Linked DNA regions of Saccharomyces cerevisiae S288C. The gene in region 1 interacts genetically with each later gene. Each region holds a gene or a part of one and is shown in the gene's direction. Other genes may lie near its edges.

Region 1 (4,225 bases):
AGTACAACACCATCAACTGATATAACATCGGCACTGCCCACGACTACAAGCACAAAGTTGTCAACATCCATTCCCACAAGCACGACATCGTCAACCTCTACCACCACAAGTACCTCATCGTCGACTTCTACGACCGTAAGTGTCACATCATCAACATCTACCACCACAAGTACTACGTCGTCAACCCTCATTTCCACGAGCACATCATCATCATCATCATCAACTCCAACCACAACATCGTCAGCCCCCATTTCTACAAGCACGACGTCGTCAACTTCCACTTCAACAAGTACAACATCGCCAACTTCTTCTTCAGCACCTACAAGCTCGTCTAATACAACACCAACGAGCACAACGTTCACTACGACATCACCCAGTACAGCCCCTTCAAGCACTACGGTTACTTACACCAGTACCACAGCATCTCCAATAACGTCCACTATAACTTCTGTAAACCTGCAGACCTCCTTAAAGTATTCTGTGATAACAGTGACTTCAGTGCACACCATGGACACTAACATTTCGGAAATCACCTCGAGATATCTCACCATGAAAAAAGTAATAACGCAGATTTACTCTTCCACCCTCGGGGCTACTCCTACTTCTGCAGTGGCTACTACGTCTGCCAGCGTAGGTGGTAGAATAACAAACAATAACAATAGTAACACCACCAACAGCAATACACCAACTAACAAGTCTACAGAAAAGAAAGGGTACTGGGATTCGCCCGGGAAAATAGCCGCTACTTTCGTCGTGGTTGGAGTGGTATGTTTGGTAATTATATGCATACTAATATACTTAATACATCATTATAGAACAAGACCCGCTCGGAAGGCTCAAGATTTTGAGAATGAATATCAGAGTAAGTTTTACCAGTCCAAGTACCCAAATGAAGTTACCACTACCACGTTACACACGCCTTCACCATCTTCAAATTCAACTTTCTCGACCCCAAGATTAATATACACTGATGAAAAGGGACAAATTATGTCTGAATCACCATCCCCACGTCAATCTACGTATTCCTTGACTGCAGGCAGTCCACCAAATGACCCAAGCACGTTGGCAAGCCCATTTCACGATCCCATTCTTCCCAGAAGAACTTCTACTTTTCTTCATTCGCCCATTCAAAAGCAACACGAAAAAATGGAATCAAACGTTACTCTAGGTGAAGACACGGTACTGGTGGATCAGAGGCTAGACCCAAGTAAGATGCTTAACACTTTAGCAAATGACGATGCCACAAACCACTCTACCATTTCGTTATCAGACAACGTAGACTACTCCAGGAGGGTTCTGCGGCTAATGAACGAATAAAGACTGCAGCTCTTATACGTAATAAATATTCCACGAACGATAATACATACATAATTTTAATTCTGAACTTTGTTTTTTTCCTTCGAATGTTCTCAAAAGAATGCTTTACGACAATAACGCTGTTATCTTGTACATACTTTTCTCTGCCCAGTGACAGCAGGCACAATAATCTAAATACCGCGTTCGTGCGAGACATTCTCTGTGATTCACAGATTACGGCGCAGAAAATAAAATAGCCGTCCAGCTCGGAGTTTCTAAAATTACGTCCGAGATGACGGAGGCTTATAAAATCATTTCAGACGGGTGAGGGATGCCAATCTACGAGACAAAAGATAAAAAATTAAGACTCAATAATATAGAAAGGAACTAAATGTTTTCATAAGAGTCACCGTCTATAACCTTTTTTTTTTTTATTGGTCTGTTATCACTTCCACTGAGAAAGTAATATTGCTATTGCACAACACTTTTTGAACAAGTGCAAAGATAAAATACTGAAAACGGTAAAGTAGGTTTGTTTAAATTGACTTAAGATGGTGCCATTGGAAGATCTGCTTAATAAAGAAAATGGCACTGCCGCACCTCAACACAGCCGGGAGAGTATAGTAGAAAATGGGACAGACGTTTCTAACGTCACAAAGAAGGACGGGCTGCCCAGTCCTAACCTATCTAAAAGGTCTTCTGATTGTTCGAAGAGGCCTAGAATTAGGTGTACCACGGAAGCTATTGGCTTGAACGGTCAAGAAGATGAACGGATGTCACCAGGCAGCACTTCTTCATCATGCTTACCATATCATAGTACTTCACACTTGAACACTCCTCCATACGATCTATTGGGCGCTTCGGCAGTTTCACCCACCACATCATCTTCCTCTGACTCGTCCTCCTCCTCGCCATTGGCACAAGCGCATAACCCGGCAGGTGATGACGACGATGCGGATAATGACGGTGATTCTGAGGATATAACACTATATTGTAAATGGGACAACTGTGGTATGATTTTCAACCAACCAGAGCTGCTATATAATCATCTGTGTCATGACCATGTTGGCAGGAAGTCACATAAGAACCTACAATTGAATTGTCATTGGGGAGACTGTACCACGAAGACGGAGAAAAGGGACCATATCACCTCGCATTTGAGAGTTCACGTACCATTGAAACCGTTCGGTTGCTCTACGTGCTCCAAAAAGTTTAAACGTCCGCAAGATTTAAAAAAGCATTTGAAAATTCATCTGGAAAGTGGCGGTATTTTGAAAAGAAAGAGGGGACCCAAATGGGGCTCAAAAAGAACTTCTAAGAAAAACAAAAGTTGTGCAAGCGACGCAGTGTCGTCTTGTTCTGCATCTGTGCCTTCCGCTATAGCTGGTAGCTTTAAGTCACATTCTACTTCTCCACAGATATTACCCCCATTGCCCGTGGGTATATCTCAACATCTGCCTTCACAACAGCAGCAGCGGGCTATTTCCTTAAACCAACTATGCTCAGACGAGCTATCTCAGTATAAGCCGGTATATTCTCCACAATTGAGTGCCAGATTGCAAACGATCTTGCCGCCATTATACTACAATAACGGCAGCACGGTAAGCCAAGGTGCCAACAGTCGGAGCATGAATGTCTACGAGGACGGTTGTTCTAATAAGACCATAGCAAACGCCACCCAATTCTTCACCAAACTATCGAGAAATATGACAAATAACTACATTTTGCAACAAAGCGGTGGTAGTACTGAGTCCTCGTCATCATCTGGGCGCATCCCCGTAGCACAAACAAGCTATGTGCAGCCACCTAATGCTCCTTCATACCAATCCGTACAAGGTGGTAGCTCTATTTCGGCCACTGCAAATACAGCAACTTATGTGCCAGTACGGTTGGCCAAGTATCCAACTGGTCCTTCGCTTACTGAACATTTGCCACCTTTACATTCGAACACTGCCGGTGGTGTTTTCAACCGCCAATCACAGTATGCTATGCCACACTATCCATCTGTTCGTGCTGCGCCTAGCTATTCCTCCAGTGGCTGTTCTATATTACCGCCTCTACAATCAAAGATACCAATGTTACCATCGCGCCGTACAATGGCAGGTGGAACTTCATTGAAGCCTAACTGGGAATTTAGCCTGAACCAAAAAAGCTGTACTAATGATATTATCATGAGTAAGCTGGCGATTGAAGAAGTAGATGACGAAAGCGAGATAGAGGATGATTTCGTAGAGATGTTGGGTATAGTGAACATTATCAAGGACTACTTGTTGTGCTGTGTCATGGAAGATTTAGATGATGAAGAAAGTGAGGACAAAGATGAAGAAAACGCATTCTTGCAAGAATCTTTAGAAAAATTGAGTTTACAAAACCAAATGGGAACTAACTCAGTTCGCATCTTGACCAAGTATCCCAAAATTTTGGTATGATATGGATTGTCGGATATTTTATTCTTAGTTGTTTCTTTGCGGCTGTATAGTAAATGAATAAATCACACATGCCCTAGCGCGGCGTCGCGGATTAAACAAGGTAACAATGGTTAAAGGAAAAATTATTTGTTAAGGTGGGTATATTATAGATTGCTAATTGTAAAGTATTAATAGTTTATTAAGTATTAAACTAGAGTTCGCACATGCTTTTATTTTTTTGTTGCTTTTCTTCACGCTACCGCTTCTTGAGACTGTTGTTTGGTAGTACTGATATCTTGATCGGTTGATCCCGAGCTGCGATTACCCGTGGAGCAAACTTCTTGATCCTGCTGTAGCGTACCGTTTGCTAAGCCTTCATAGTAAAGTTCCTCGTGAAACTGGTTTCTCAACACAATGACGATGATGGCCACTGGAGTGCATACAAAGGCAATTACAACGGCATAAATCAACTTCATGACCTGCGGTAGTGGATAATCGTTGAAGTAGTAGTCGTGGGACCC
Region 2 (6,482 bases), on another chromosome or scaffold:
CTACAACTCAATCCCTTCTCGAAGATACATCAATCCACCCCTTATATAACCTTGAAGTCCTCGAAACGATCAGCTAATCTAAATGGCCCCCCTTCTTTTTGGGTTCTTTCTCTCCCTTTTGCCGCCGATGGAACGTTCTGGAAAAAGAAGAATAATTTAATTACTTTCTCAACTAAAATCTGGAGAAAAAACGCAAATGACAGCTTCTAAACGTTCCGTGTGCTTTCTTTCTAGAATGTTCTGGAAAGTTTACAACAATCCACAAGAACGAAAATGCCGTTGACAATGATGAAACCATCATCCACACACCGCGCACACGTGCTTTATTTCTTTTTCTGAATTTTTTTTTTCCGCCATTTTCAACCAAGGAAATTTTTTTTCTTAGGGCTCAGAACCTGCAGGTGAAGAAGCGCTTTAGAAATCAAAGCACAACGTAACAATTTGTCGACAACCGAGCCTTTGAAGAAAAAATTTTTCACATTGTCGCCTCTAAATAAATAGTTTAAGGTTATCTACCCACTATATTTAGTTGGTTCTTTTTTTTTTCCTTCTACTCTTTATCTTTTTACCTCATGCTTTCTACCTTTCAGCACTGAAGAGTCCAACCGAATATATACACACATAATGGCATCCACCGATTTCTCCAAGATTGAAACTTTGAAACAATTAAACGCTTCTTTGGCTGACAAGTCATACATTGAAGGGTATGTTCCGATTTAGTTTACTTTATAGATCGTTGTTTTTCTTTCTTTTTTTTTTTTCCTATGGTTACATGTAAAGGGAAGTTAACTAATAATGATTACTTTTTTTCGCTTATGTGAATGATGAATTTAATTCTTTGGTCCGTGTTTATGATGGGAAGTAAGACCCCCGATATGAGTGACAAAAGAGATGTGGTTGACTATCACAGTATCTGACGATAGCACAGAGCAGAGTATCATTATTAGTTATCTGTTATTTTTTTTTCCTTTTTTGTTCAAAAAAAGAAAGACAGAGTCTAAAGATTGCATTACAAGAAAAAAGTTCTCATTACTAACAAGCAAAATGTTTTGTTTCTCCTTTTAAAATAGTACTGCTGTTTCTCAAGCTGACGTCACTGTCTTCAAGGCTTTCCAATCTGCTTACCCAGAATTCTCCAGATGGTTCAACCACATCGCTTCCAAGGCCGATGAATTCGACTCTTTCCCAGCTGCCTCTGCTGCCGCTGCCGAAGAAGAAGAAGATGACGATGTCGATTTATTCGGTTCCGACGATGAAGAAGCTGACGCTGAAGCTGAAAAGTTGAAGGCTGAAAGAATTGCCGCATACAACGCTAAGAAGGCTGCTAAGCCAGCTAAGCCAGCTGCTAAGTCCATTGTCACTCTAGATGTCAAGCCATGGGATGATGAAACCAATTTGGAAGAAATGGTTGCTAACGTCAAGGCCATCGAAATGGAAGGTTTGACCTGGGGTGCTCACCAATTTATCCCAATTGGTTTCGGTATCAAGAAGTTGCAAATTAACTGTGTTGTCGAAGATGACAAGGTTTCCTTGGATGACTTGCAACAAAGCATTGAAGAAGACGAAGACCACGTCCAATCTACCGATATTGCTGCTATGCAAAAATTATAAAAGGCTTTTTTATAAACTTTTTATAATTAACATTAAAGCAAAAACAACATTGTAAAGATTAACAAATAAATGAAAAAAACAACGAAATAACTTAGGTTTTAGGCTAAAAAAAACAGAAGGAATTTTGAACGATAAACTTTTCGACTGCACACGAAACATTATTACTAATTTGTGTAACCACTATATAAGGAATCGTGTTTATTAATTGAATTTATTCCGGGAATATTCAAGTTATGTATATCTCTTTTCATATTCTTAAATACACATACTCATAATATCTTGTCGAAAATACGCGGTGTAGGGAGTTATGGTGGATAACTTTTTCACGATTAGAAGAAAAGGAAAATTTCATTATTCGTAGCTTAACATGGCAAAAACGAGAAAGACATATAATCAAAACGTGAGTTTCCTGTGGAAAAAAAAAAAAGGGAACCTCTGGTTACGATGATATACCTGCGTGAAAAAGGACAGTTATTACCAATACATACAAAGGCTTAATAAGTGTAAAATATATATCTGCCGAGACCATTACTCATTACACCTAGAATGGAGCAAAATGGCCTTGACCACGACAGCAGATCTAGCATCGATACGACTATTAATGACACTCAAAAGACTTTCCTAGAATTTAGATCGTATACCCAATTAAGTGAAAAACTGGCATCTAGTTCTTCATATACGGCACCTCCCCTGAACGAAGATGGTCCTAAAGGGGTAGCTTCTGCAGTGTCACAAGGCTCCGAATCCGTAGTCTCATGGACAACTTTAACACACGTATATTCCATCCTGGGTGCTTATGGAGGGCCCACGTGCTTGTATCCGACAGCCACGTATTTTTTGATGGGCACTTCTAAAGGATGCGTACTCATTTTTAATTATAATGAACATTTGCAGACAATCCTAGTGCCGACCTTATCTGAGGACCCTTCTATTCACTCAATAAGAAGTCCAGTGAAATCAATTGTCATATGTTCCGATGGTACTCATGTAGCTGCCTCATACGAGACCGGAAATATATGCATTTGGAACTTGAACGTAGGGTATAGAGTGAAACCCACTTCTGAACCAACAAATGGTATGACCCCAACGCCTGCCTTACCGGCAGTCTTACACATCGATGACCATGTGAACAAGGAAATCACAGGGTTAGACTTTTTTGGTGCTCGGCATACAGCCCTGATTGTTAGTGATAGGACAGGTAAAGTATCACTCTATAACGGTTACAGAAGAGGCTTTTGGCAGTTGGTGTATAATTCAAAAAAAATTTTAGATGTGAACTCTTCCAAGGAGAAATTAATAAGGTCAAAGTTGTCTCCACTAATATCACGGGAGAAAATTTCCACTAATTTGTTGAGTGTACTCACAACTACACATTTTGCCCTTATTTTATTATCGCCACACGTTTCTTTGATGTTTCAAGAAACTGTTGAACCCTCAGTACAAAATTCTCTAGTCGTGAATAGCTCTATTTCATGGACTCAAAACTGTTCCAGGGTTGCTTATTCCGTAAATAATAAAATTTCTGTTATTTCCATATCTTCATCAGACTTCAATGTTCAGTCCGCTAGCCATTCTCCTGAATTTGCAGAATCTATATTATCCATTCAATGGATTGACCAGCTCCTACTTGGTGTTTTAACCATATCGCACCAATTTTTGGTATTGCACCCCCAACATGACTTCAAGATCCTGTTAAGATTGGATTTTCTGATTCACGATTTGATGATCCCACCTAATAAATATTTTGTAATAAGTAGAAGAAGTTTCTACCTGTTAACAAACTACTCATTTAAAATTGGCAAATTTGTGTCTTGGTCAGATATTACTTTAAGACATATTTTGAAAGGCGACTACTTGGGTGCATTGGAGTTCATAGAATCACTTTTGCAACCTTACTGTCCACTGGCAAACTTGTTGAAGCTAGATAATAATACGGAAGAGAGGACTAAGCAACTTATGGAACCATTTTACAATCTGTCCTTGGCTGCCCTAAGGTTTCTTATAAAAAAAGATAATGCCGACTACAATAGGGTTTACCAATTATTAATGGTAGTTGTTCGTGTTTTGCAGCAATCTTCCAAAAAACTAGACTCAATTCCTTCTCTAGACGTCTTTTTGGAACAGGGTCTGGAGTTCTTTGAATTGAAGGACAACGCGGTATATTTTGAAGTTGTAGCAAATATTGTTGCCCAAGGATCAGTTACGTCAATTTCCCCAGTTCTTTTCAGGTCCATAATTGATTACTATGCTAAGGAGGAGAATTTAAAAGTAATTGAAGACTTAATCATCATGTTAAATCCTACTACGCTTGATGTTGATCTTGCCGTCAAACTATGCCAAAAGTATAATTTGTTCGATTTATTAATATATATTTGGAACAAGATCTTTGATGATTATCAAACCCCAGTGGTGGACTTGATATACAGGATTTCTAACCAAAGTGAAAAATGTGTGATCTTCAATGGTCCTCAAGTACCTCCTGAAACGACTATATTTGATTACGTAACGTATATCCTTACTGGCAGGCAATATCCACAAAACTTGTCTATATCACCAAGTGATAAATGCTCCAAAATACAAAGGGAACTTTCAGCATTTATTTTTAGTGGCTTCTCCATAAAATGGCCGTCGAACAGCAATCATAAACTTTACATATGCGAAAATCCAGAAGAAGAGCCAGCATTTCCTTACTTTCACCTTTTATTGAAATCGAATCCGAGTAGGTTCTTAGCAATGCTCAATGAAGTGTTTGAAGCGTCCTTGTTTAACGATGACAATGACATGGTTGCATCAGTTGGAGAAGCAGAATTGGTAAGTAGGCAATATGTTATTGATCTACTATTGGATGCTATGAAAGATACGGGAAATTCAGACAACATCAGGGTACTTGTTGCAATTTTCATTGCAACTAGTATATCAAAATATCCTCAATTTATTAAAGTGTCTAACCAAGCCCTCGACTGCGTTGTTAATACCATATGCTCCTCTAGGGTTCAAGGTATATATGAAATTTCTCAAATAGCTCTGGAGTCGCTTTTACCCTATTATCATTCAAGAACAACAGAAAATTTTATACTGGAACTAAAAGAAAAAAATTTCAATAAAGTTCTTTTCCATATCTATAAAAGTGAAAATAAGTACGCCAGTGCGCTTTCACTTATTTTAGAAACTAAGGACATCGAAAAAGAATATAACACGGACATTGTATCCATAACCGACTACATACTCAAAAAATGCCCACCTGGAAGTTTAGAATGTGGCAAAGTTACTGAAGTTATCGAGACGAACTTTGATCTTCTTCTCTCAAGGATCGGTATCGAAAAATGCGTCACAATTTTTTCTGACTTTGACTATAATCTTCATCAAGAAATCCTGGAAGTAAAGAATGAGGAGACTCAGCAAAAGTATTTGGATAAGCTTTTTTCTACGCCAAATATCAACAATAAGGTCGATAAGCGTTTAAGAAATTTACACATCGAATTGAACTGTAAATACAAGAGCAAAAGGGAAATGATTCTTTGGCTTAATGGTACAGTTCTCAGCAACGCTGAGAGCTTACAAATTCTGGACTTATTGAATCAAGACTCTAATTTTGAAGCTGCAGCTATAATTCACGAACGCTTGGAAAGTTTTAACCTAGCAGTCAGGGATTTATTAAGTTTTATTGAACAATGTCTAAATGAAGGGAAAACAAATATATCTACTTTATTGGAATCTTTGAGGAGGGCCTTTGATGATTGTAATTCTGCTGGTACCGAGAAAAAATCGTGTTGGATATTATTGATTACATTCCTGATCACTCTATATGGGAAATATCCTTCACACGATGAAAGGAAAGATTTATGTAATAAACTACTTCAAGAAGCATTTTTGGGATTGGTTAGGTCCAAGAGTTCCTCTCAGAAGGATTCAGGTGGGGAATTCTGGGAAATAATGTCTTCTGTTCTTGAGCACCAAGACGTTATTTTAATGAAAGTTCAGGATTTAAAGCAACTGCTACTGAATGTTTTTAATACTTATAAATTGGAAAGATCTCTTTCTGAGTTGATTCAAAAGATTATAGAGGATTCTTCGCAAGATCTTGTTCAACAGTATAGAAAATTTCTGAGTGAAGGGTGGTCTATACACACCGACGACTGCGAAATCTGCGGGAAAAAAATATGGGGAGCTGGTCTGGACCCATTACTTTTTCTAGCTTGGGAAAATGTACAGCGCCACCAAGATATGATTAGTGTAGATCTCAAAACTCCCCTTGTCATATTCAAATGTCACCATGGCTTTCACCAGACTTGCCTCGAAAACTTGGCCCAGAAACCCGATGAATATTCTTGTTTAATTTGCCAGACGGAATCTAACCCAAAAATAGTATAACATTTCTAAATATTTAATACAACTTTGGTTACATAAAAGTAAAATTTATACACCTCATTTCATTATGTAGATTCATATATAGAATACCAATTATGATTGACCCAATAGCCATCAAAATCAGTAGTTATTAATACTTGTCTTTCTAGGAGCCATTTGCATATTTCTGATATTTCATGAAGCGAAAGTACTTCACGACACCTAGATTGCAATCTACTCAATGTTATCCCTGGATGAAATATTATTTCGTTAACGACCATAGTAACTACCTGCTTCCATATGTTTGGCCTAATGGAACCAGATCCATTCACCCATAAACGAGAAAATGGTTTGCCCAGTGGAACTTTGACAGCAGACTTCCTTGCTGTATTCAATTTTGTCTGAGAATTGGCATATATAATCAGAGGGGGAGTTAATGTTCGTATTTCAAATCTCCTTGAAGTATACGTTAAAGGTCGAACATTTCTCACCATTGGAATTACATCCATATTCAATAGCTCTCC

The links.
Region 2: mutations in RIM101 (region 1) and VPS8 together harm fitness more than expected from each alone (negative genetic interaction), as found in Saccharomyces cerevisiae (3 studies listed by BioGRID).

What each region holds. Positions count from the first base shown.
Region 1 is NC_001140.6:49,264-53,488, forward strand, and holds RIM101 (alkaline-responsive transcriptional regulator RIM101), read left to right. Parts: upstream 1-1,847; coding exon 1,848-3,725; downstream 3,726-4,225. Other genes in the region: WSC4 (Wsc4p), read left to right, coding at 1-1,317; YHL026C (uncharacterized protein), read right to left, coding at 3,956-4,225. UniProt on the Saccharomyces cerevisiae protein: Transcription factor that mediates regulation of both acid- and alkaline-expressed genes in response to ambient pH.
Region 2 is NC_001133.9:141,550-148,031, forward strand, and holds VPS8 (CORVET complex membrane-binding subunit VPS8), read left to right. Parts: upstream 1-2,157; coding exon 2,158-5,982; downstream 5,983-6,482. Other genes in the region: EFB1 (translation elongation factor 1 subunit beta), read left to right, coding at 625-704, 1,071-1,611; transcription factor TFIIIC subunit TFC3, read right to left, coding at 6,045-6,482. UniProt on the Saccharomyces cerevisiae protein: Required for localization and recycling of the CPY sorting receptor (VPS10) to the late-Golgi compartment. Involved in the retention of proteins to the late-Golgi. Plays an integral role in the complex vacuolar protein sorting process.